Caenorhabditis elegans: one gene and its partner. The protein of the gene in region 2 interacts with the protein of the main gene of each other region in a pairwise test. Each region holds a gene or a part of one and is shown on either strand. Other genes may lie near its edges.

Region 1 (14,148 bases), 2.1 Mb from region 2:
ACCGGCTTCAAAATTTTGCAAAAACTTACCTGAGTAGGTTGTCGAGAAACATCGAATTTGAGAAATAAAAAAGTGACGAGAAGAATGCAAGTGACTATGATAAAGCGAACTAGATGGTAAGTGAACAAGTATAGAAGATGCGGATGTTACTGTAATAAAAATGAGATTCGAAAAACAGGTACCAAATTAATACCAGGAGTTAGCCCCCGATAAGAATCATTGGACGATTTGGCAGGTTCTTCAGAGCGTCCATTCCTGAAAACTGTATTTTTTTCCTACTCAAACAGTTTGATGGGCTACTTACCGGCATGTCTAGCTTTTTTGTTGTTAACGGCTTTTTGAATGACCTCGGAAAGCTGTTCGTCAGAGTCGCCACAACGAATTCTATCACGTAGACTTACTTCGGAATTTCCATGGAGGCATACCTTAAATTAATTGAAATTAACCAAAATTCAAATTCAAACACAAATGTGAAGGAAGGACACAATCGGGTATGTTGTTGAATGAACATTTTCTATTTGCGGGCTGAGATTATGCATAATAGCGGGAAATGTCAGTGAAAATTTTAGTTTATGCACTCTGAAATATTCAAGGTTTTTCCATATTCTTATTCAATGTTTTTTGATGTTCCAATTTTTCGAAGCATTAAGGTTTTGTGATAAATTTAGAACATTTATGCATGTTTTAAAGCCTACTGTTTTAATTAATATATTTTTTTAATCAATTTTATTAACGCATTATTTCAGGAGGTCTTTCATAAAAATGATTATGATGGTACAAGTGAGAAATACTCGCAAAGTTTTGCACTTTTATCTGAAATTCTCCAAAATGAAAAATACAACTTTTTATTAATAGACATTATTAATTGAAAATAAATACCTCAACGACACCTCGTAACTTCCTATAGACTAAAGATTGAATGCAAGCTTTATATAACTTGAAAACAAGTATTAAAGGTGTTAACAACGAGTTGAAAAGAAAAAAGGAACCTGAATGTTAGGGAACGAGACGAAATACAAAGGAGAAGAGCAGAGAGCACAACTTGTGCAGAGCGGCGGCTGGGCGCAAATGAGGCCAGGTGGAGGAGGCAAGGCGATGACGAACGGAAAGGATCGCTTCGCACAAAATCTTATGTTATACATTACATTTCGTCTCTCTTTCTCTCTCGGACACCCAACATTCACTTAGATTTTCGAAAGATGAGTTTATTACTGGCAAAGAATAAGAATGCAATATGATGAGAAAGGAATAAATACAAAAAAAGAGCGAAATCAATTGCGTCCTTGGAAGTGCCACGAAGGACGACGAATGAGCTATTATAAGGATGCATGATGTCATGTGAGAGGTTTCCGTAGATATTTCCTCCCAGAAAGATAAAATCAAAATAAGATTTATGAAATGAAAAGAGGAAGTCACTAGAAATCAACATGTTTATAAAACTTAATAATACATTAATGTTCTTCCGGTAATTTTCAAACTTTACATTTTTCAACTACTTACTTTCAAATTTCCATCAGCTGTTATTCTCAGCCTATTGCAAGTGTTACAAAAGTGATCTGACATCGAGGTGATAAACCCAAATTGTCCTTGGAATCCATCAATCTTATACGCTTTGGTTGTGTCATTCGGTGAGTCGGATAACCGTATTACACCATCTCCGTATTTATCAACAATTAAATTAAGCATCTCTCGATAGCCAATGAAATTGTCATTTTTGAACTCATTACCCCCAAAAGGCATGAACTCTATGAAACGGACGTCTAGGTTACGATCTTTAGTAAGATTAACAAAATCAACAACTTCGTTCTCGTTTTGGTGTTTAAGAACAACTACGTTTAACTGAAAAAAATTATGGATATTTAATTGACAATGCTCAGAAATTGAGACTCGACTCACTTTAACTTTTGGGTAGTAACCTCTCGCTAATTCAATTGCTTTCCAAACTTTATCAAATCCGTCACGTCTTGTCATTTTGGCAAATTTTTCACGATCAAGGGAATCAATACTGATGTTTATCTAAATTTATTTAACTTTTAGAAATTAAGTTTTTGTTGAAATTTCAAAAGTGTTTTGAAAAGCAAAAAGAGGATTGGATATGATTATTTGATTTGCTTCCACAAGTAATATTGTGGAAATGAATCGATAAACTTTTTAGGCAAACATGAAAACAAAAAGCACAAATGTCTCAATAATTTCCCAATTCTGATTGAAAAACATGTTTACTTTTGTCAATCCGGCATCTCTCAACTGTGGTAAAAATCTCTGCAAAACAAGACCATTTGTAGTTATACCAACTTCTTTGATTCCTGGAGTAGATGAGATCCCTTCTGTAATTGAATATGCCATGTTTCTCCACTGAAGTCATATTTCTACAATAAACTCACCAACAATATGCACAATATCCTTTCTAATAGTCGGTTCACCTCCTGTCAGTCTAACTTTGTCAACGCCATGTGCAGCGAATAACTTTACAAGTCTTAATACTTCACTGTTTGAGAGCATTTTGTCTTTGGGCTTGAGAGGAACACCTTCGGCTGGCATGCAGTAAAGACAACGGAAGTTGCATTTTTCCGTTAGCGATATCCTCAAATAAGTGTGCTCTCTCATAAACATGTCAAAAAATGGTGGCTGGCCTTTTGTGTGTTCAATCTGAAATTGAACGATGAACGACAAGTGAACTTTCAGAATTTTCTTATATTTTCTTATCTCTTTCTCTGATTTCTGAAGCTCATTTGCACAATATGTTTAAGAATACCTCTTGAATTTTTAGTCTGACTGCTTCTCTTTTTTGTTCGGGCGTCAACGTGAGTATTGGTTCGGCATGTTCTCGTAATGGAACAGTTAGTTGTTTTACAATTTCTTCTGTTGACGACTTGACCCGTGACCATTGAAATAACTTTTTTCCTGCTCGACAACTCATCTGTAATATTTATATCAAAACACTTTTAAAAATGCGGTGCGATTAATTTATTGATTAGGAATTGAGAAAAAAAACAAAACCTAGAGAAAAGGTGTAAAGTAAACTCCAAGCAGCACATTGTGGCTCTCACGCTCAAACATAAATCGTGGGCGTTGAAACCATAGAAAATGCAAAACGGAACAACGGGAATGTTTTGTCATCATACAGGTTGATGGGCACTCTACTCTGCATTGGTGATTTGCAATTCAATTCCGAAAAGTGATTTTTGTGTCGACGAAGGAGAAAACGAACGTGTTGCAGAGAACAAAAAGAAAAAGAGGGATAGAGGCTCAGGAATTTTGGACTTTATATATCAGGAAATGTATTTTTAATGAAAATGAAATATCATGATTCGGTCTAACGATTTGAAAAACTCAGTAACTTTTGAATGTCAATAAAAAATTTTTATTCCAGCTGTTGAAAAGTGTTACTATTCTATTTGATCATTTTGGCATTTTATGGATAATTTTTAACAATTTTCTTACTGTCGCTACTCCACCTTAATTAATTTCTGATGCAAGTTATTAATTTCTGATGCAAGTTATCAATGTCTGATTTTCAAATGGTTCGTGAAAATAAATCGAGGTTTTATCATTATCTTTTAATCAATATGATTCTGACGCTAGAAACACAATATTTCTGGAAGAGACAACAACATTGTTTGTCAAAAGATAAACAAGCGAATATATTTCAGAACATTTGTGTGCTCTTGACTATCATTTCCTCATAGTTTCTAAATCAGAAGGAGTGTTGCCATTATGAGTAAGTTAAATACCGTGTCCCAAAAATATAGTGTACTCATAAACCCCTTTTTTTAAAGTTGTCACGTCCTCCAAGTGTCCCATCTTCCAAACATCTCTATTTCTCTCTGTCTTTCTTTCTGACGTGTCTTTTTAACTCTTTTGGTGACCCCTGTAATTTGTACATTGTATAATAAAGCATAGACTATTTGAGACAGAGAGAGCGATGTGAAAAGGGCACTTGATACAACGTAAAAAAAATTGTTACAGCTGGCATCTTCAATCTGGGCGCTCGACGATCTTCGCTGATTGGGATGAAACTATGGAGATGGAGAGGTGAGGATTTTTGGGGTAAAAATATTCAATCAATTTAAGTGACTCATACAAACACAAAAAAATCATGTTATCAAAATCCATTCAATAATAAAATTGCAAAAAATAAATACGGAATGTTCCAATCTGCCTCCCTCATTCCCATCCCATTCCATTCTTTTGTTCTGTTTGTCCTGGTTTTCATCGAAATATTGATAAACTCCAATGGAATCTGCAACTGACGAGTTTTACTACCAATCTCGCATTCCACCACAGCCATCCCCTTTACCAGCTCAAACTCTTGAAATTAACGGTCACAAATATGTTCTCAATCATCGTTTCAAGAGTATCAAGATTGGTAAGTATGGTTATACGTCCGAGTGATTGGCAAACGACCTCGGGATACATACGTTTTGTTAGCCGGATAGTTACGACGTGTTTTTTTGGAGGGAGAAGACGAACGGAATAGAAAACTTAGACATTAGTCATGCTTGTCAGTTGTGTCGCGCGTCTCTTTGTGCCAAAAAACTTCGCCACATGTTAAAAGGTTGGTCAACTTTTGTTTGTATCGAGGGAAATACTGAACTTAAATGCAACATTAATATTTTCATAGAATAAAATGTAAGTATTAGTTTCAAAAAGTTACATTTTAAAGCTTTATAATTTGCAGCTCAATTTATATTTTCAAATATCTCTGAGAAGCATGTGAAAATATAACTTTCATTTTGAGGTGTTCGTAACATTATATAAGTTCTCGTCTTCTGAACACTACCTAGAAATTTAATATATTGTTGGAATTGGAGTTGGAAATGTTGGAAATCATGTGGGGATGCCCGAATGTAGGTGTCCCTGTAAGACAAAACTAGGCAAATCAATAAACACGATTTTTTAAGTGATAATGTGTATGTATTGTAGCTTTTACTTGTGAATTAATTTCATAAGCAACTTAACTTAACTGTGCTAGTGGTATTTTTTGTTTAGTTACATTTTCCTAACAATGATACACTTATTTTGATTGAGCAAGATGCTCAACATATTTCTACTGTCTTTGATGTTTCACATGTATAACGCAAATTTTGAACATACATGTTCAAAAAATCATTATTTACTCACTTATTAACAACATTGGTATGACAATGTAATTTAAATTGCGGTATATTAAATCAATAATTTTTTATGGTTTAAAATAAGTTTTGAGTTTTGACTACTTCTCTAAATTTTGAATAAATTACAAAACGAGTTACTTGTAAAGATGCCGATCAACTTTTGTAGCACAATAATTAAAGTTGTCCTGTACTTTATTCATAGCTTTATTTAATTCTAAACAAATTTTATTTTACTTCACGGGTCAGTGTTCAGAATTGAAACAATTAAAACAAACTAGAGTTCAATGTTTTACTAATAACACTCACTATCAGGTTTCTTTACAAGCTTAAACGATGCGTTTTTTATATTTTTATATTATTTAATTTCAAATTATTCAAATGTTGTTCAAAAAGTTGCATACGGCTTGTCATTTTTTTTTGTCAGATGTCACCATTCTCTGTTGTCACGCTCTTAAAATTGATAGTGTCAAAATGTCAACAGTATTTCTTCACACAATCAGAATAGTCGCTTCAGAATGGCACAAAAACTTAAAGTAGGCGGCGATTTTTGGTTTTGTTTCACACTCTCCCAATCTGCCAGGTTTCTCGCCGCTTGGCGCCGATGCCCGGGTAATGTACATAATCAAACGCACGCAGCATACCAAAGTCGGGGCTCTTATCACTTGCACAACGCTTTTTCAATAGGTGCCTGCCGCACTGCGTCGTTTCATGAACTTGGTTGTACGCTCGCCTCATTTTCTTATAGAGTGTACACTGTTTTAGGCGTTTTGCCGGCATAATGGCCATTATTTTACTCCAAAAATGAAATATTTTTTGTTTCATTCCTTTCTTATGACACATGTTGCGGTGATAACCATAATCGTTATGATGGAAAGTGGAATTCAGGAATGTTGGCAAACAAAATGACTTTATAACACTATTTCTTCAAAAAATATAGATATTTGTGTTTTATTGATTTAGGTTCACCGTCTTAGGGTTTTTTTAAGTTCTATAACTTGTTTAGTTGTATATTTTTTATAATATTTAGTGTCGCATGCCTTTAGCAATTAACAATATCAATAAAGAAAGTTTCTCGGATGGCAAAAGCGTTATCTACAACAGACCAACCCTGCCCATAAAATATTATAAAACTTTTCCCGCAAAAGTAGTGCATTACTTATGAAAATTGAATGTCAAACAGTTTGCAAAAAGTTGGTTTTCAGTCTCTCATCGGTATCCACCAATCATCCCGATGTCGGTCGACGAACAAGCGGTACCACCGGAGGTTTCGCCTTCAATGGCTGCCAACATTCCACAGATGGTCCACGATCAGCTAGCCGCACAGTTTTTGCCAGGTACCTCTTGTTTAGGTTAACATACACAACAAAATTTCAGCGGCAAAAAATCTTGGGCAAGCCGGAATGCATCTACTGAAAACATATTACAGTAAGTATTTTTGATCAGAAAACAATAAGTTCTCTTACACAGTATTCTTTCTATGCTTTTGTTGTATTTTAAAAAACCTGAGAATGCCTAAATTGTGGCTCGAAAATAGCGGCAACAGGGAAAACAATCGGCGAAGAAAGATATAGGTTCCTTCGCTACGAGATATTCCCGCGCCAAAACGGTAGGCACTCTCATGATCTCATGGTTTCTTAATATTGTAAGAGATGAGAAGTAAAAAAAATTAGAAAACGTTACTGCAAAAAGTTGGCAAATATACGTTGAAAGTATTATAGTTATCATGGTCGGGACGGTTTGTAACAATGGCTCAATAATGTGAATAAAATATACTCAGCTCATCCCATTTCTGTGTTAATAATTTGTTTATAACTCAATTCAGTTTGTATCGCAACACATGAAAACATGTGTAGTTGAAAGACGCATTCATAGAACTCGAGTTTTATATTTTCATAGTTTGTGCCTAAAAATTCAATGACAAAAACTATATTTTTTGTGAGAGTGGAAATTGAAACATTTTCGTTTGCAATCCATATCAATGTAGGTCAAGAAAAATAGCTTTTCAATAATCACATCAAGTTTTCAAGATGACAAGAGTATATAAAAATTTGCAATTTTCAGTGTTCCAAGAAGCATTGTCAAACTATTGTGATGCCACTCACAAACTTATCAAATCAGCTGATACTGCTGGACACAAATCGAAAAATGAAGCTCGAGAGCTTTCAAAAGTTTTTAAAGAGTTTGTACAGGGAGTAAATGCTCATCAAAAAGTCGTAAGCATCAATCTAAAGAAAAGTTTCGCATTCAATATATAATTAAACATAGATTACGGAATTTGACGCGCTGGCACACAAAGTTCATGACTATAGCAACAAGGAAAAAGACAAGCTGAAGACAGAATTTGCTGAGTACAAAGCAAAAGAAAAAAAACTTCTGAAACGCAAAAATGGAGAAACTGAACAAGATATTACCGCGTTCCATAAAAAAGAAGCAGCCAGCTGGGCAAAACAACAGGAAATGAGATACAAATTTTTCAATGACAAGCTGCAATCCTGGATTCACGGGTGAGTTAAATGTAATTAGAATTGTGAAAATAGCAACATTAATTCAATTTCTGGAAAAAAAAACTCTCATAAAATATTATCAGATACGTCGAAATTGGGAAATTATTCCAAGCCCAAGAAGTGATTGTTCAGCCAGCAGTTGGGAGTGTGATCGCTGCACCGGTTGAAATTGAGACCATACCAGAAGACCACAAAGATTGGCATCAAGATTTACATGAGCATGCCGCCGTTGTTGCAGCTGAGGAAATTAAAGAGAATGTTGAAAAGGTAAAACACAATTTAATGCGTGTATATCATATTAAATTTCAGAAAGTAGATGAAGCTGTACAGGACAGCCGCAGCAATTCGACTTCATCGGTTGCAACAACGCTAGAGGATCTTCCATCTTCTCGTCGTCTCACAAATGACGTTTCCGGAGTCACACTGGTTAGTAATTATCGCCGTCAATCAATTGAGGTTAGTTGAGGACTAATATGTCATGTGAAGAAATGTTTCAAAGTTGTTATAAGTCAATATTGTGTATAAACAATAGGTCATAGTTACATTAAATCACGTACATAAAACTTATAATACATACGTTTCATTTTGTATTAAAAAAAAAGAACACTCACATTTTCAAAGTTTATTACTATGTGTAAGCCATCGGACTAGTTGTAGGATACTTAAAATTTGAACTGTTGAAGCAAGGAGGTATTCAAAATTTCTCCTATTTTGAAAAATTCGCATCTGCAATAACACTATTTTTTAATGTTTGTATAATGTCCGCATGTGCTATTAAATTATCTAGGATAAAAATCAATAAAAAACGCAACATTTTGAATTTTAATTTAGATTAAAATCAGTTTATTTATTCATAGTTAAGCCTGCATGAACTTTCAATCAGCAACACAGTGTTTTCAAAATTTAACAATAGAATTCAAAAATGTTTGTAAACATCGAAGCAAAAGTCTTTAATCGAAAAAAGAAATATTAGCATCGTTTTGTCAATTAGATTTTATTGAGTTTTCACTTTGGTTTTGAAATCTTGGCAATCTTTCTATCACGTTTTAGAAATGTTACGCGAATTTTAAAAGGCTGACTGAAGAACAACTATTTTCACGTGTTACATAATTATCAAAATTTTTTCGTAACAACTTCACGTGTTTGTTTAATGGTAGAATAGCGACGTATGAATAGTTGCTCTATTTGACTCAAAATTACCTCACATAACATTACTATATTTTATTTAATCTTTCACATAAAGTTTTTATCAAAGATTTGAACTGCAGTAAAAACATTTCATATTCTTATTATGTATTCACAACGTGCCCCGAATTAAAATACCATGCATTGGTTTTTACAAACAGTAAATGCAACTGGTTTATTTCGAAGAAAAATTTAATTGCCGTATTAATTTCAGATTCAACAACTTCCACCCAACAACAGCTACTCCCACATTGCTCCACCAGTCTTGCCGCCAAAACCAGTTGTCGAAAACCCCCAATATGCTCCGATTCGCGCTCAACCAGTTCCAGTCACACGCCAGGAGGAGAGCACATACGCCCCTCGTCATAATGTTGTCGCCGAGGTAAGCATCTGGTGTAATCATCTTTTCACTCGCTATTATTTGTCCATTTTGATAAAACTATGCGTTTCCAGCAAGTGCCTCAACAGCCGGTTAATAGCGCTCCAGGTGGTGTCCGCCGTGCTGGAAACACAATTCCAGGTGCTGTTAATGTTTTCGGATTTGCAAATCAATCAAATCCTCAGCCAAATGTCCGCTACACGCCTGTTCAGGTAAAAACTATTCGTGTAATTTTCAATTTTCAAGTGTGATAATCCTTCAGAATAGCACGCCTTATCAAGTTGTTACCAGCGATTATATTCGCGTTGGGAGAGTCGTCGATAATCCAGTGACAGAGGAGCAAATGAATGCTAAAAAGTGAGTACTCACAAGAAATTTGAAAAAAAGAACGACATATTCAGATTCCACGTGGATTCTAGTTACCTTCCAATGGCTGCTCCATCTCACCAAGCACAACAACACAGTCGCAATCATAGTACAGATATTTCGGTTCCATCATTCTTCAACCCATCACAATATGGAAGTATTCTGATTGTTAACGATGATTTCAATGCTTCTTCCGGAGAACAGATGACTGTGAATCGTGGAGACAAGGTACCAAAAACTTTCTAAATAATTTTGAAAAATTAAACTAAAACTTGTTACTTTTTGTGACGTCAAGAAGAAAACAAAAAGAATATAAAACTTTCAAGCAAAACGGCAAACCGATAAAATTTCTAACAACAGACCGGTGCCCTAAAAAAGTGGTAACATTTGCCTGTATCAATATTTTAATTTGACACTATTATAGGATTTGAAAGCCTACATGAGTAGAGTTTCATGAATGTTTTTTTTAATCAAAATCAATTTAAGGTTATTAATTTTTTATCAAAAAAATCTTAGCATTGGTTCGAGATATTTAATTTATGGAATTCGTTTTTACATTCAAACAAGTCCTTACTGAACATTTGTCTAACAGGCTCTTTGTAATATTTAGTATTGAATTAGAGAATACTTGCAAAACATAGTGTAGTTGAAAACTATGTTGATGTTGTTCTTTGTTAGATATTTTGAAACATGCATTAGTCACCTCCACAATTTTATCACATCTGATTAATTTCAGGTAATCCTCTTAAAATGCGGATCTCGTGGATGGGTGTTTGTCAGAGATTCGATTTCTAACCGAACAGGATGGGTTCCTGAGCCATATGTCAACCCATAAACTTTCAATTACAAAAAAACAACATTCTTGTCATTTCTCGTTTTGTCTGTGACTTATCTTCCCATATTTTCACCAGAACGCCTATTTTTGCAAATAACTATTTTGTGATTTCCTGTAATTCCTTGATTTATTTCCCCAGTTTTTAAATAATTCATTCTTATCCCAGTGGTCCAGTTTTTATCAATATTTTATTCACAGTAAATAAGTAATTAAAACACATGGTAAAGCAAAAAATATTATTGTATGGTAACATTTAATGAATTTAATGATTAAAGTCATGAATGTTGGTGTAATTCTTAATTAGAGAGTGTTTGGGAAGAATTGGGCAACCTGATAAAAAAGCAACTTCAGCAAAAAAAGATTCTCTGCCATAATCAGAACGAAATCAAGGTGGCATGATTACAGTTTTAGAGAAAAAGCAGCAAAACTTATTGGAATCAAAAATAATCTTGAATAAATTCGTAATGATTTAATATTGTTTGGAAACTTTTTAGATTTTTGTTGATCTATCATCAATACTAGAGGTGTAGAAATTATATATTAAAAAACGCAGCACACGTGTTTAGAATTACGGTTGGAATAAAAAAGGAAAAGAAATTCAAGCACTTAGAAGGCCATTATTATCCTCTTCTTTGCAGTTACGCATTGCTTCTTCCAAGAATCCTGAAAAATGCTGTTACTTGTATAATAAGAGTTAGTGTCGAAATCTATACCTCTCTTCATTTCACGGACAATGACAGTCATTAACTTGTTCCATCCCAGACGAGCCAAGCAATTTTCTCCGCTGTATACATTATTAATATCAGCAATCTTAAGAATATAAGTTTAGAATTGTGCAGTAATGTTGGAATCCTTAACTCCTACCGGGATAAGACTTGCATCAGTATCCACTTTTCCATTTGCAGTTCCATTGCTATTAGTATCCTCCTTTTCTTTGGAGCTATCCGTTGTTCCGGTTGTTACTTGATCAACTGTTACTTTTTTGAAGACAAGCCAGTTATCTGCTCCAAAATTGACTCCTCTGTAGAAATGAATTTGTCCAATACGATGTGCCATGTCAAAAACACTGGAAATTGGACAAAAACCGAGAGATCCGACTGCCGTGTCAAGGAAGTTCTGGATACGGTGCGCCTGGAAATCTCCTATTTTTTAAGAGATACTTGTATTATCAAAGCAACTTTAAATGTTTATTTTCTTGTATTTGTTGATTATTAATTTTTTGGTACAAAACTATGATAATGTCTTCAATCTGATAATTTCAAACTCTTTAAATGTTTGGAGTAACACGGAATTTTTTTTGAGTTGACAGGTAACTTCTATTCAAAATCTAAATTTAAACATCCTCACCTGTAAATGAAATTCCTTGCTTTGATTCAAAGCACGAATATCAAGACTTTCACTCTGAATACCGAAATACTCAGCAAACTTTGGACGTTTTTCAATGAGCGTCTGCAGAATCTTCTTTCCAACGTTGTCGGTTTTCGCGCTGCAAAACTTTGAATTCAAAAAGCAATTATTCATGGGTTAATGGACATCGATCAAAATCTAATACATGTGGAAGCAAGCCGAAGACGTAACGCGTGATGCTCGCATAATCGAATTCATTTTGCTTGTATCATTTTTAGATGATTTCTGGCATTAAATTAGGTCTGGTCTATGAGGAGTAAACAAAAATACATATTAGTTCAATTTTTTTCACATGTAATTGGCAGTTGTTTTGAGCTAAAAAAAAGATATTAATTTTACTTGCCAAAACGAATTTTCAAACTTATTATAATAGCTGCTAATGAAATTTTTTTAAAATAAATGTTAATTTGTGTTCACAGATTTTTTGAAACAGAAGAAAACACATGTAAGCCTGTTCACCTTTTGTTCAACTGGAGTAAACTTATGTAACGAAGTGAGCTAACAAATAAAAACTGTTATTTTTTAAAACTTTGAAAAAAAGTTTTCAAAGGTTTCATTTTCAAACTGAAAAATATGTTATACGGTTTTATATTTGCGCACAAAGGAAGAACGAAATCAGCAAAAATAACGACAAGGCAGATTTAATACCGTGTATGGCAATTAAATACCGTACGACTTACACACCAACAACCGTATTTTTTACAAGTTTGCTTTCACTATCTTGTTACCTTAAAAAACATTTATTTCAAAAAGTAATATCGAATGCGATACAAAACTGGAAATTAGGTTCTTTGAAATGAATAACAGAGAAATTACTGTTTAGCAATGTATCGAGAAATAATTATTTTTAATCAGAAAATAATACAAAATCTAATATGTGGTTGCAGAGTTCTACGCTTAATGGTCTTGCCAATGATTATCATCAACTTACCGCCTCCAAACGTCTCGAATTGCTGTCACTTCTTCATCGGTGATTTCTGTTGTCATTCGTTTCTTGCTGCTGCACAATCCCATTTTGAATTTCTTGCACCTGAAGTAAATAATCAATCGTGACAATTCTCAAAGCTTTTGTAGGTAGAATATATTAATGAAAAAGAACGGAAATGTCATGATTATCGGCAAGATGAGCAGTGGAGAATATCAAGGCGTCTCATCCAACCTCCTGATGAATAATTCATATTGAGATGAGGGAGTGAAGTTAGAAGAGGTCGGGGGTAAAGGTAGAGAGGAGCCCAACTATTCCAGGTACATCCAACACCACGTTCATTTGTCATTTCCCGTTTTTCAAATTTTCCTATAGATCGATGTCATAATAAATTCGCTTTTTAATTGCCGGAGGTGGAATAAGTGATGAAGTAAAAAATGTTTAAGTCTGAAATGTCTCAATGTCCAAAAAATTTGATTTTTTTTATTTCACTTTTTTTTTGCAGGTTCAGCACCAGAAACTGCTCCAGACAATCACAAAAAAGTAACCTGTTGCAACACACACAAACAAAGATTGAAGTTTAAGCAAAGATAAAGAAATCAAAAATCTTGAATAAAAGTTTCATGTACATCTAAGTTTTCTTTAAACATTAAAAAACCCATTCCTCGTTTTTTAAGAGTCCATAAAATATTAATAGTTGTCACGGAGTGATTCAAATGAAGATATTGAAAATATTTTTAAGGTGGATGTTTGAATTTGGATATGATTTGAATAAGAGCACTGAGAGTTCATAATAGCCAACAAATTTCAGATTTTTCGTTAAGAAAACGTTCAGCAATTAATTTTAAAGTTTTCAAAGAGCACAAATTAAACATATTCAAAATTTAGAGCAATAATGTATCTTCAAAACTGTTTTAATAATTAATTTTTAGAATTGGGCTCGTCTGCTAGTAAAAAGTGAACAATGAACCTAACCTTTCGACTTTCAAACATTTAAAATAATGGAATGCATCAAAAACCTTGAAAAGATTGAAAAAGTAACTCAATTTCATTGAGTGAAATCCAGAATAGAGTGTCACCCATAAAGAAACAATGGAAAAAAAGAATCTACCCTCCTATAAGGGCGATTGAAAACTCACACTTAATTGAAATTTTGTGACAACTGACTAGCGCGAAGAACGAAACGGGAAGAAGAATAGAGAAGTAAAAGAAGAATACGAGGAAGATGATGATAATGAAGAAGCTGTGGTGTCTGATGAAAATGACTTAAAAATGAAGAAAGGTGGGATTGCATTTGTGAATAGGCGGGGTTCGTGGACTGCGTGGATTACAGCATTTAATTCCAAAAATAATGAGAAACACAATGTCAAGCACAACCAATTAAAGTGGGATCATCAACGTCACGTGCATCTAGATGTTTCTGAAAGTGT
Region 2 (11,708 bases):
ACAGTTTGCGTCAAGAATTTGGTATCACATCCTTTATGTCCAGCAAGACCATCTGTCATCATGCGACTCGGTTTTCGCGGGGTGCATAGGCCAGTTGCTCATCGCGCGCGGGACACTTTGACTCCTCCCTCTTAAGATCCTCGCTTGTTAGTATTCATGTTCTTCTACATTTTGTTTCCATTCTGAGCTAGATGTTGAGAATGCATTTTTATATTTTTCATAATTTTTGAGCTTAAGAAGAGATGCCAACGTAAAAATAGTTGTAAAACACGATAAATGTTCTGTTTTGTTTTTACGTGTTTTAATTTCAATCTTCTTCCTGGAGATTCATGCAAAAAGTCTGATTCTATCCGAAAAAAGTGTGATATGAATTGCCCAAGTTGTAAATATGTCATGGACTGGAACCAGGTTTATACTTTTTTTTAGCCATCAAGAAAAAATTTAGCCTGAGTCTAGTTGTGTTTTGCAAAGATGATAAGGTGACAAATTGGGTATAAATAAGTGAACATTTTTATAGGTTTGCTATAAGAAACGTCTTAATATATTTTTGACCAATTTTGAATTTTTTTGCAAGAGTAATTTGATTTGAAAATGCACAGTTCAAATAAGACTTCGGCTCTTCTTTCGCTTTTTTCCTTTTCCTAAAATATTTTATTCAATTTTCTAAATTTGAAAAAGCCAACCAGTCAGCTCTTGAAACTGATGGCTAGTCTCCGTGGATACCGTAGCTCGCAAGGATTTATGACCCATCTCCTTCAGATTCGTGCCTCTGTCTTCCTCTACTCGCATTCATCTATTTTTTTGCTTTTTGTTTCCCGATCTCTAGTCCCCGTTCTCGATTTATTCCACACACTCCTCCACAAATCTACTATTTTTGCCACGTCTCAATGCGCGCCCACTTCAGAGCTTAGCAGTCAATTGGCAAACCTTTCATTTCAACATTTAGATTGAGTAAAATCCTCAGCCATGGCATCATTTCAACCATCAACTCGAATTGTCACTTTGATCATTGTGATTTTGGCAGCACTGACCTGCACACTGTTCAGTCTCGTATGTTTAGGACATGATGCGACGATTGCTGCATTGACAGGTAAGATACAATATATTGTTGCCTTAAACGGTCAACTGAGTTGGTTTAAAGTTTCAGTGACTGCGATTGTTCTTTCTGGTATTGGAATAATCATGCTCACTTTTTTCATTACTGACAAAAAACCGTGTCAATCTGATGTGGTACTCAACACAGTTCGTTCAAATTTTCAACACGATCTTCAACTCACTGATCGCCCACCTCTTCCTCCTTGTAAGTGGTATCTCTAAAATTTTTTGTTGAAGTACAAGTGCAGACTGCGTTATAAGATTTAAAAATTCAATTTTACCAGCAACGGGTGAATATGATAAATCTTTTCTTAAAAAAGAGAGGAGAAACTTGACGTTAATTAGAGGGTTCCTTTGCATTTTTCTCTGTCTTCTTGGCTTTTCCATGCGGAAATGCACACTATAATCGGGCTACGAGAATCGGCGGATGAGTGATTGTGAAATTGCACAGTAGAACGACAGACAGTAATTCCATCTTTTATGCCACAATACACATACACTTCAACATCTGTCTTTTTTCTCGCCGCACAAAGCGTTTTGCTGTTCAAAGAAGGGAGCGCACGTCTGTCGGGTTTCTGTCGCCGTGCTGGTGAGTGGCGTAACATTTGAAATTCTGAACATTGTAGGAGTTAATAGAAGTAACATTAGTTAACGCATTAATACAATTATTTTAAAAATACTTCAAAAATAACGTCAATTTTGAATGATGTATTGAAGATAAGTAAAGCATTGTTTGAACATTCGCAATGATTAAATATAAATAAATTTGGTCCTTATGTAGCAGCCGTATCCCAAAAATTAAATTTCCTTCAATTTATAATTGTAATATATTATAACTTAAATAGTTTTATAACGTAAATAGAACAAAAATGGTAACTTTTTTTGAACCTGCTATTTGTTCAAACTTAGCACCAGATAAGTAAATTCCAATATTTTCCGCTCTGATGCTACACCATCTTTAGTTTAAAATTTTAATATACATATGATCTTTCTTTATTTTGAAGCTTTATACCCTGAAGAAGGAAATATGGTGACAAATCTATTAATTCTAATCCGCATATAGACAGTATTCATTTATTTATCCACAATATTCAGTGCCCCACATGGATAGGGTCACACCAAGTGGCAACATTTCATGTTGGCATCTGTTCCCATAAATACCGTACACTATCTATTTACATGGGTGCCCATCTTCTTGCGCGTACAGGGGGCCTCCGGTCTCCCGACCTTGACAGAATGAACGACATCTGCTCACATCATTGGCTATATAATGATTACTTCTTCTCATCTCACGCCCTCCAGGCATTATAGCAGAGCACAAGTGTTTGCTTGGAAGACACCAAGAATAAAACAATGGCCATCTTGCACCCAAACCTGACACCCGTCTGTTACTCTTGGCAATTACTCCGGTTTACCACGGAGGTTTAATAAGTGAACTAAGTGGATTAATTAGATTTTGTTTTATTATAAGAATAAAATGGTGACAGGCTGGGGATATGGTATGGAAAATAATACTACTAGCAAAAACAAGAGGATCTTATGTCAATGTGGTTAACATTTCAGATCTACCAGAAACACCAACATTTATTCCACCTTTTCCAATTCCTCCACCCCAAATCATAATGGAGAGCACAAACATTTTGATTCAACCACCATCAGTGAATAACCCTCCATCTTATGATGAAAGCGCTGATATTGAAGACCGCAGAATCACTGAGTAAGTTATTTAGCAAAATTTTCTAAAATGCATAATAATTAAATTTCAGTAATTCAAATGCTCCTCCTGCCTACAATCCTACAAATTTTGTATCGGACAACAACATTGCAAGCTTTTCCCCTCCACCGTACTACAGTCCCCCAAGTCCTTTTTTTGGAACCTCAGTGCAAACCAGCACGATGTATCTCTCCGCAGAAGATATGTCTGAATCCCCTACTCCAACTTCACCCATTCACCGTATTTACATTCGTGCTCCTTCGCCGGTCAGACGACACCCGGCTAGAAAACCCAGACGTCAGTCACCTCGTGTTCCAAAACCACAAGAAACTGTAATAGTCATGGAGCAAGATAATTCTGAAGCATCTACAAGTACATCTGTTCCCAAAACACCAACACGGTAAATGATTTTTAAGTTTGAAACATGGTTTATTTAAAAAAAAAATTAAAACATATGACAGATCTTGAAAATATTAAAACTATTCAACATCGCGTTTTGTAGTTTGTCGTATTTCAATTTCAAATTGTAAATGTTTCTAGGTTTTGATGACCAAGTTTTCTAAAATATTGATTTTTTTAAGCTCAGCTTTGAAATTATTGTTAATAATTTACTAAAATGAAGAAAAGTTTCAGAACGCCACTGCCTCAAATGTTCATCGATTGCTCAAAAGCGGAACCAGCTCTTTTCACAATAAATGGTGAAGAGTCTATCATCTGAATTCCATTTATTCCAAATATCCACGTTTTAGGCGGATTATGGGACAACTGAAACATCGCTTTACTATCTTCCTTCAATCAAAAAAAACTCATCTTCCAAATTTCCAAAAGCATCTCAAACAATTGATCTCAGTTCTGTAGTATTTGTTTGTAAAAATCGTATTTATCAATTTTTATTTTAACGCCTAATTTCTTGTAGTTTAAGTTATCAATATCATTTGACTTGGTAGAAGCAAATAACTTTTTGTTTGAAAATCAACAGAAAACGTAAGCATAATTTAACCTCAATGATTATTTTGCTATTTTTTTAAATCAATTTATTTTAATTAATCGAAGTATTTATTTAACTTATATTTGTTGAGTACCACCAAGTTGTACATTTCCACCTTTGCTCCCGTGAAAAATTATAGTTTCTGCTGCTTCCTATGTCTTCCCGATTCCCACCAACCCCGTTACAGCAATTGCTGAATTCGTAAATAATGTTGATAAAGTTATGACATTTGTTTATTGAACTTTGATGGGAAATCAGAACAAAAATCATTCAAACACACATGAAAAAAAAACGCAATTTGTAACAGAGAGGTTTACAATTCAAAAACTGAAGAAGGTATCCATCCGATAGTATTATCCGATTTACGGCACAGTGCAAACTCTCGTTCCATGTAGAGAATCTGTAACAAATTGTTATCATTAGGGCACACTCTTTGTTAAGGTTTTAAGGCTCTTAAGAAAACAAAACGGACATCAACTTGCTCCATGGCTCGGATGCTGACATCAACGTCTCGGTGTTTTTCGTAGTTATGGCGAGCACGAGCACTCACTGAACGGAAATATGGTTCGGGCTCTGGTTGTTCCTCAATCCGAAATATGTCGCGGCTGTAAATTTTGGTCAGGATTGAATGTGTGTTGATAACTGACTGCATATACTTCTGACACCCTTCAGTAATTATATATTTAAATTGAATCCACTTTTTCGCATTTAAAAGTCCGAAGTTCTCTTCACAATTAAAAAACGACAGTTTGCGGCAAATTTCGTCATACCACAATCTACAACATCTACAAATTTTACAGGCAGGTAATAAAATGCCAAATTTTTAAACTTTGATAATGTTTTAGCAGAACGTGATTATCTTACTATCTTGAGCAAAAAAATATTCAATACTTATCAGACCACCCTTTTATGTATTGGAATTAGAGAAACATCAAAAAATGAATCAAGAAGATTCCTTATTATAATATTGATGTGAGAATAGTTCAGCTACTTCCAACAACGCAACTTCACATGAATTTTTTCTGGCAACTTATTGAATTTATAAATGTTCCGTGTATATTTCGTTAAGCAAAAATTCAGATATATGTATTTGATTTAACTTTTTCTAATACAAAAGTTTCTTATTTATTCAATAGATGTGGGTGAAAATGTTGAAAAACAACTTCGAACCACCTGTCAAGATTCTAAATAAATTTTTAAGGCAGATGAAGTTAACTCAGTTGGTAAGAAAATTTGTTTCAATAGAGTTTTGAAATATAAATAAATTTTTAATCACAAAATTGACAGTACATATATAAAACTAATATTCGATTTGAAAAGTCATGTTTAGCCAAAAACTTTGATAAATTATGAGTTTTTATATGCCAGTTTTTGAATTTTAATTGGATATCTCATTATAATTTTTATCATACAATAAAGTCCGGCATTATAGCTAGTAGGGTTTTTACTCAGTATTTGGCAAAGGTGTTTTTAATAATTTATATAACAGCTGCCAAAAACTTGCAAAAAATATCTGAGATTACTGAACAAAAATGAAGTTTCAGATATTTGTAAACTATTTAGAAAACTTATCAGAAACATCTTGGTGATACCGTACTTGACAATTTATGTACATAAATCTATGCTGGGTTACACAATACCACAATTTCAGTGAAAGTAATAAAATAATACGAAACTTTCGGGAATTTTTTACCTTTTAGAGAAATTTGGAGTAATGCCACATTGCATGTTCAAACCTTTACAATGTTCAGATTTTTGAAGTTAAAAACAAATGTCAGAATATTGCAATGTCGGATATTTTCATAAATATTTATTTGCACTCTTTCTTTTTAGATAAACTAAACTTCCACAAACTTACACATCTCCTCTTTTCTTTCCACTACCCGAACTTGAGTGTTGATTTGCTACGTGATGTCCAGCATATTGTGGTTTTTCCCAGGAATGATGTCTGAAAGAATAAACAGGAAGTGATGAGCAAGCAATCGGAATTTTGCATTGTTTCCTTATGTGATTAGAGGTGTTGGAGGTGGCCGCTGACAAAAGTCGACATTTGTTTTTTTTTTTCCTTCCGCCAGGCGGCATGATTACAAAACGTGAAAACGCGAAACATGATAGTTCCTGCTGTGTTAGGTCAATCAAAATTCCGTTGGAGATTAACCACATGATTATTCAGACAAGTTTCGTCTAGTCATGAGTAACATGCTCTTAACACGTACCCAGAGTCTTGTTTTTCTGCTTCTAGTTGTTTCTTCATAATTTGGCAAATTTCACAATCATCGATTCCACGGTCACCGCGGAGAGTGTCAAACTTTTTGTGATTTTCTAAATGACGGAGGTATGCTCTGTTTTGATCGGTTGCTACTGGTGCTGCTGAAAAATAAACTTTCGCTTGTTTGTTGTCTGATCAAATGATTGACTGGTGATTAATTATCAGTTTGAATGACTGTTGGTTTTGCTGAACCACAGAAGTTGTCAACAACTGTAAGAACGAAGAGTGATACTGACCTGAATTCACGAAAATGTCAATTAGGCGCTAGTTAGGCAAAATATGAGTTTTTCACTCTACCAAAATGTTAAAGCACAGATGTTTGGTAGACGTAGAGAAAAGTTCAGACGCCAGACTGACGGCAACGACTTATCAGCAATTCCACTATTTTACGGCCACTCAAACAAGGCATTTTCCAAAGAAAAAAAAAAGGAATTTTTGGATCGAGCAAACTCCACCGTCTTTTATCTAAGTATGCAATAAAAGTTTATGGTCCTGGAACCAAAATACATACCTGCTAGTTCAAGACTTGAAATTGGAAGTATCGCTGAAGCGATTCCCGGAAGCACTGGTACACCAATCTGCTTAATGTGCTCTTTTGTGGAAATGTGTCGTTCTTCCTCATTTCGGTCCTCCATATATGAATGTTGCTTGATCTAAATGTGAACAGTTAGAAGAATACAAAAGTTAGCGAATTGTTCCAGAAATGTAAATAGGAAAGATGACATTTGAAAAAGCAAGCTAAGACGTCAACAAGTCATTGAGCATGTTTTTGTGAGACAGCAGGTGTTCTACAGTCAATAAACCAAGCTCTAAAAATAGTACGCTGCTAGTGAGTCTCCAAAACTTTTTTGAAAAGTAAAATAAAATCTAGGAATTTTCTAGTGGTCATTGAAAATTTGTTATTTGTTAACTTTAAATATTTTTTAGACTAGAACTCAAATAACATTTTTCTTTTTCTTTCAAAACTTCAGTAAATTAGCAATCAAAACCAATTTGCAAATTTGTATAAATCTCACCTCGGGATAGTTATAATTTTCATCAGGAAGCTTTGAAATCGATTGACGATCTGAATTAGTGGGCCTTCGGGAACTTTGCTCTTTTACCAGTGCTGGTGGTGGAACCTCAATTGGAATATAAATAGGAGGTAGCTCGTAGAATTCAGGTGCATTTTGTGGTGCAAACTCTGTTCCAATATTATTCAGAGATGGTCTGTTTTTCTGTTTTTGATTTTTCAGAGTATAATCTGGGGTTGGAATATATGGGTTTCTAGCAGGTACGTATTTTTGTTGTCTGACGGTAAAGTCATAATCAGGAACGGGGACGTGATAGCGTGACATGGTCAAATTGTAAGACTGTCAAATGAAATGAACAAAGCAATGGGGCGCCGAGTTTCGTTTTTTAATGTGCTCTCTACCGTCTCTCGTCCTCTTTCTTCTGTTTCCGTGCCTGTTTGCTCTTGTTTCAGGGGCGCGTCCAACGTTTTCTCGTTTCTCCTACATCATACTGTTATCTATCATGTGCCCTTGCAAGATGACTGAATTTTTGCGATGGGTGTGAAGAAAATGAGGGAATGCGAGCTCATCATCGATGATGAACTTGATTTCATTATTCATTATTTGTAAGGTAAATGTCAAGACTTTAAAAATAATCAGTAAACTGACGACGAGACAATTTCAGAGAAATTCGGTTCAACAATTTCGTAATTTAAAAGTGACGTAATTTTTGAAAGGGGAAAACTTGAATGAGAACGATGAAATTAAGTTTGACATGTAAATGGACCTTTGTGAAATTTTTTTGAGTATCTTCCTGATCAACCTAATTTAGACTCGTAAAACCTATATTAAAGTGGTTTTTCTTGAAACCACCGTTTTCGATTGGTTTCTCAACAGATTATTAATTTTTGATATAAAAATCATCTATTTTCTGAGTTTTAAATATTTTTGTTCAGATTTTTTTAAAACAAATTTAAAAATCTTATTTATAAATATTTGGGATCAAACTCGTTATCAAGGATGTAACATGGATTAGAACACAAATATCCACAAATATCTGTCTGGAATTTAAATTGTAATACTCACTGACTGACGAAAGATTATGATTTACAAAAACTTTAAGTTTAAGACGCTCATAAACAAATAGTTATGTGATTAACACATCACAGTGAAAAAATACTGTACCCATGAACGAGTGGTGAAATGAGGCACAAAACTAAAATTACTAATACTTTCGACAATTCAACGAGAACCATCAAAGTCTCAGTCCGTCACCAACTATGGTAATTTTCAGCAGCCTTTGGAAAAGGGAAGATTGATTATGTGAAACTTTTCAAGATGTTGATTGTATAAATGGATTTTTTAAAAATTTATATTTTTTTGCAGCGGCTTTATGATAATGTTATTCTGAAGCTCTAGTTTGTGGACAAGATGCCCACAACTCTCGTTGTTCCTAATTTACCATATTATAAGAAATAGGAACAAATGTCGGCACCTACAAAACAGATTAACACTCCGGTGAACGATATGCCAATTATTGTAATCCAGATCATAATAGATTCAATGTTTACATTTTTGACGATGAGTAGAGGCACATGTTCCACAACTTTGCCGCAACAAGAATCATGACGTAATCAGATGTTATTTGGACGTATCCTTAATTGGATAATACCGTTTGTCTGTGTTGTTTTGCCGGCGGTTAAGCAAACAGTTGAACAAATTCTATGGGAAACAAAATAATTAAAACTGGCAGCTTACCAAAAAACTATACTAGAAATAATTATGTTAAATACGCTCGCAAGTTAGTTTTGAACAGTAGTGCTGCAAAATTAGGTCGGTGCTCGACCTCTGAATAGCTTAATTTTAAGCAGATCGCCTCAAAAATTGTTCAAAAATTTACATCTATGCTCAACAAAAATTTCAATTTTGCTGGCTTGTAAGTGGAACGGTGGTCGGAAATCAGAAATTTAATGTACTTTGTCTGCTCATTATATTACTGCGATACTAACAAATAAAAAAACCATATTGTAAAACTTTCAAGATCTCATGTATGCCTTAATTTTCATTAAAATCGTATAAATATTCACCCTTACATGAGAACTATCATAAAATATCTCTAACTTTAGTGTTTTATTCATTGTCAAAAATATTTAACCACATCATTTTGATGTATTTTCCATTTTCTCATGTTTTTGCTCTCACAAGATTAGTTGAGCAAACAAACACATCCTTGTCGAGAGGTGTTCTGAGTCTCATGAACTAATAAATCCTCCTCACCGGATAGTATTACCTGACACATTGCCAGACGGTTGCGTTTTACAACTACAAACGTAAAGTTTATGAGAGTTCCTTGAGCCTGGAGTCTTGAGCAATTGGTTCCCCCTCTCAGTTTTTGCTATAATTCAAAAGCGACTCAAACAAGTATTTGAATGTTTATTGACTGCTGTTATTCCGCCGTTTAATGATCAATACTAGCGGCAAATTTACGACCTGGTTGTAAACTTGATACACTGTTTGAAGATTTCCCAGGAGTCGAAGCGGATTTCTTTCAGTCATCCTAACGGGGCTAGATTTGAATGCAATCAACAGGTGCCGAGTAGCATATGACGGTTTATATTGCACCGTACTTGAAGTAGCGCGCGATGAGAGGGAAAAGGTTGCGCTCGTTTTGACGGCAGAGTTACGCAAAATACCGACTGACTGGAATTTGAGGCAAAAAGTTGTGCTATGGAAATTGAGTAGTGTAAACTGATAAAACCTTGCATAAATGTGATTAGTTTATATTAGATGATTTACTCGGTGTAACCGTATGTGAAATGTGAAATTGAAAGGAAAAACTGTACATATAGGTTTTTTTCCCCCAAAAAACGTTTTTGAAACATTTTTAACACTGAATATATCTACTTTTACTTCAGGATTTAGAAAATAACATAACTATGCCTAAAATTCCAAATAAACCACGTTACATTTCAAAAACTGCAAAAACTTTTTGATGTGAACGAAACCCATAAGTACCAAACATTCCATACAGGAACACCTTTCAAACCAGACTTGGATGCCTTTCTAGGTAGTTTTCATGGATTTTTCTTAGTACTGTTTTTTTTTTGAAAAGATTGCATAAGAAATACTTAGTACATATATTCCAAATTCGTGGGAAATTTTTAAGATAGAGACACCTACACAGATTGATTTCCAGTTTCATTATAAGGCGTTTTCTCTACTTAGCAAGATGTCAGAAAACAATGCTTGCTTTTATCAAATATAAATGTAGATAAGCATTTTTTGAAATAATGGAACACAATCAACAAATATTCACAACTAAATCCCTTAATTTCTGTGCATCAATAATGCCAATGTCTCTACCGTATGATATCAATTGGCTCACTCTGTAATCTAAACAAAGTGTAATTGAGTCCGGCACGGGTTTGTCGGCATCTTTTCGAAGAGGGGTGATTGCGCGAAAGCCGTGCGTCGGGATGCCCAGACAGGGCGGCAAGCGGCTAGTTTTTGATGGCGGGGGATGGTCCGGATGGGAACTCGTATACCGAGAATTCATAAACATTTGTAGACTGTATCTGAACTGTGATTTACTGTGTTGATACTAGTGGATTCTTTAGAAAAGTATCTTAAACTCAAAAAAAAACTTTCTTATAGTCATATTAACTTATGTAGCAATAGTATTTGAATAAATTTTATGACGTCAGATAATAAGTTTCAATAAACATCGCAGCACTAATTGTAAGTGAATAATCCTGTTACTTTATTTGAGAATATAAAAATTATACTTATATTTTTGCCTCAAACTCTGATGCCATGCATATTTCACGGATAACCCATATTAAAAAGTCAAATATCGGAAGTCTATTTTTTTGAACATTTTTGGATAACCATGTACATATACACATCATCAATTTTACAACCCCTTGCCATTCCAGTTTTACAGCCTGTCTTTATACAAAAAATCTCCACCTCAACATAAGTATAATGTCAACAACAAAAACATATTCCAGGCCGGATAGTAGTCTACACAGATCCTCCCACCATCGTGAACCTTTCCTGCCCGCATCTATCCTCCCTTGCGGGGTCTGTCTTCTTGCTCCGCCCACCCGTACCCATCTTGCGTACCTCATTCCTCCGATTCAAGTCAGTGATATATCGCTAGCTCATCTACAAAATGGTCAAATCAACAACTGCTGGAAACAATGCGGTTTCTTCATTAGAATCCACTGATTCCAAGAAGTCAAGAAAGGAAAAGTCTCGCGAGAAGGAGCATCGTCGTGCTCAATGTATCAACTCGGCCTTTGAGATTCTTCAGCAGTAAGTTGTTAACATTTCTTTTCCCTAAACAAATAGCTAACTTAATCTTATTTTCAGACATATTCCATACCTCAAATCGGAAGAGAGAAAGTCGCTGCCAAAGATCAAAACGCTTCGTCTTGCCATGCAGTACATTGATCATTTGAAAAAATTGCTGGGAGGAAATGAGATGGTATGTCGAATCATAATGTTTGTAACTGTAGTAATACTTTTTCGTACCATCAGTCAAAATGATCGTGTTTTGAATTATCTACTGTTTCAAATATCAAATTTCTTCAAATTCCTAACTCTTGTACGTTTTTTCAGCTCGAAACCGATTGCAACGAATCTCGC

The links.
Region 1: the proteins of T04F8.7 (region 2) and F49E2.2 interact in a two-hybrid assay, tested with the Caenorhabditis elegans proteins (one large-scale study listed by BioGRID).

The regions. Positions count from the first base shown.
Region 1 is NC_003284.9:9,563,060-9,577,207, forward strand, and holds F49E2.2 (SH3 domain-containing protein), read left to right. Parts: upstream 1-4,236; coding exon 4,237-4,369; intron 4,370-5,723; exon of another isoform or gene 5,724-5,848; intron 5,849-5,976; exon of another isoform or gene 5,977-5,997; intron 5,998-6,319; coding exon 6,320-6,451; intron 6,452-6,491; coding exon 6,492-6,542; intron 6,543-7,178; coding exon 7,179-7,330; intron 7,331-7,382; coding exon 7,383-7,621; intron 7,622-7,704; coding exon 7,705-7,888; intron 7,889-7,930; coding exon 7,931-8,077; intron 8,078-9,020; coding exon 9,021-9,188; intron 9,189-9,259; coding exon 9,260-9,397; intron 9,398-9,447; coding exon 9,448-9,542; intron 9,543-9,586; coding exon 9,587-9,779; intron 9,780-10,287; coding exon 10,288-10,386; downstream 10,387-14,148. Other genes in the region: moc-5 (GTP 3',8-cyclase), read right to left, coding at 30-149, 194-262, 305-425, 1,501-1,839, 1,897-2,016, 2,224-2,327, 2,385-2,649, 2,756-2,920; glb-17 (Globin domain-containing protein), read right to left, coding at 10,985-11,049, 11,100-11,196, 11,245-11,517, 11,734-11,872, 12,725-12,807.
Region 2 is NC_003284.9:11,673,495-11,685,202, forward strand, and holds T04F8.7 (SH3 domain-containing protein), read right to left. Parts: upstream 7,487-11,708; 5' UTR 7,404-7,486; coding exon 7,083-7,403; intron 6,764-7,082; exon of another isoform or gene 6,720-6,763; coding exon 6,578-6,719; intron 6,168-6,577; coding exon 6,014-6,167; intron 5,746-6,013; coding exon 5,656-5,745; intron 4,403-5,655; coding exon 4,270-4,402; intron 4,198-4,269; coding exon 4,111-4,197; 3' UTR 4,013-4,110; downstream 1-4,012. Other genes in the region: T04F8.9 (uncharacterized protein), read left to right, coding at 967-1,090, 1,142-1,300, 2,659-2,812, 2,862-3,209, 3,443-3,507, 3,559-3,578; hnd-1 (Hand transcription factor 1), read left to right, coding at 11,233-11,375, 11,433-11,547, 11,682-11,708.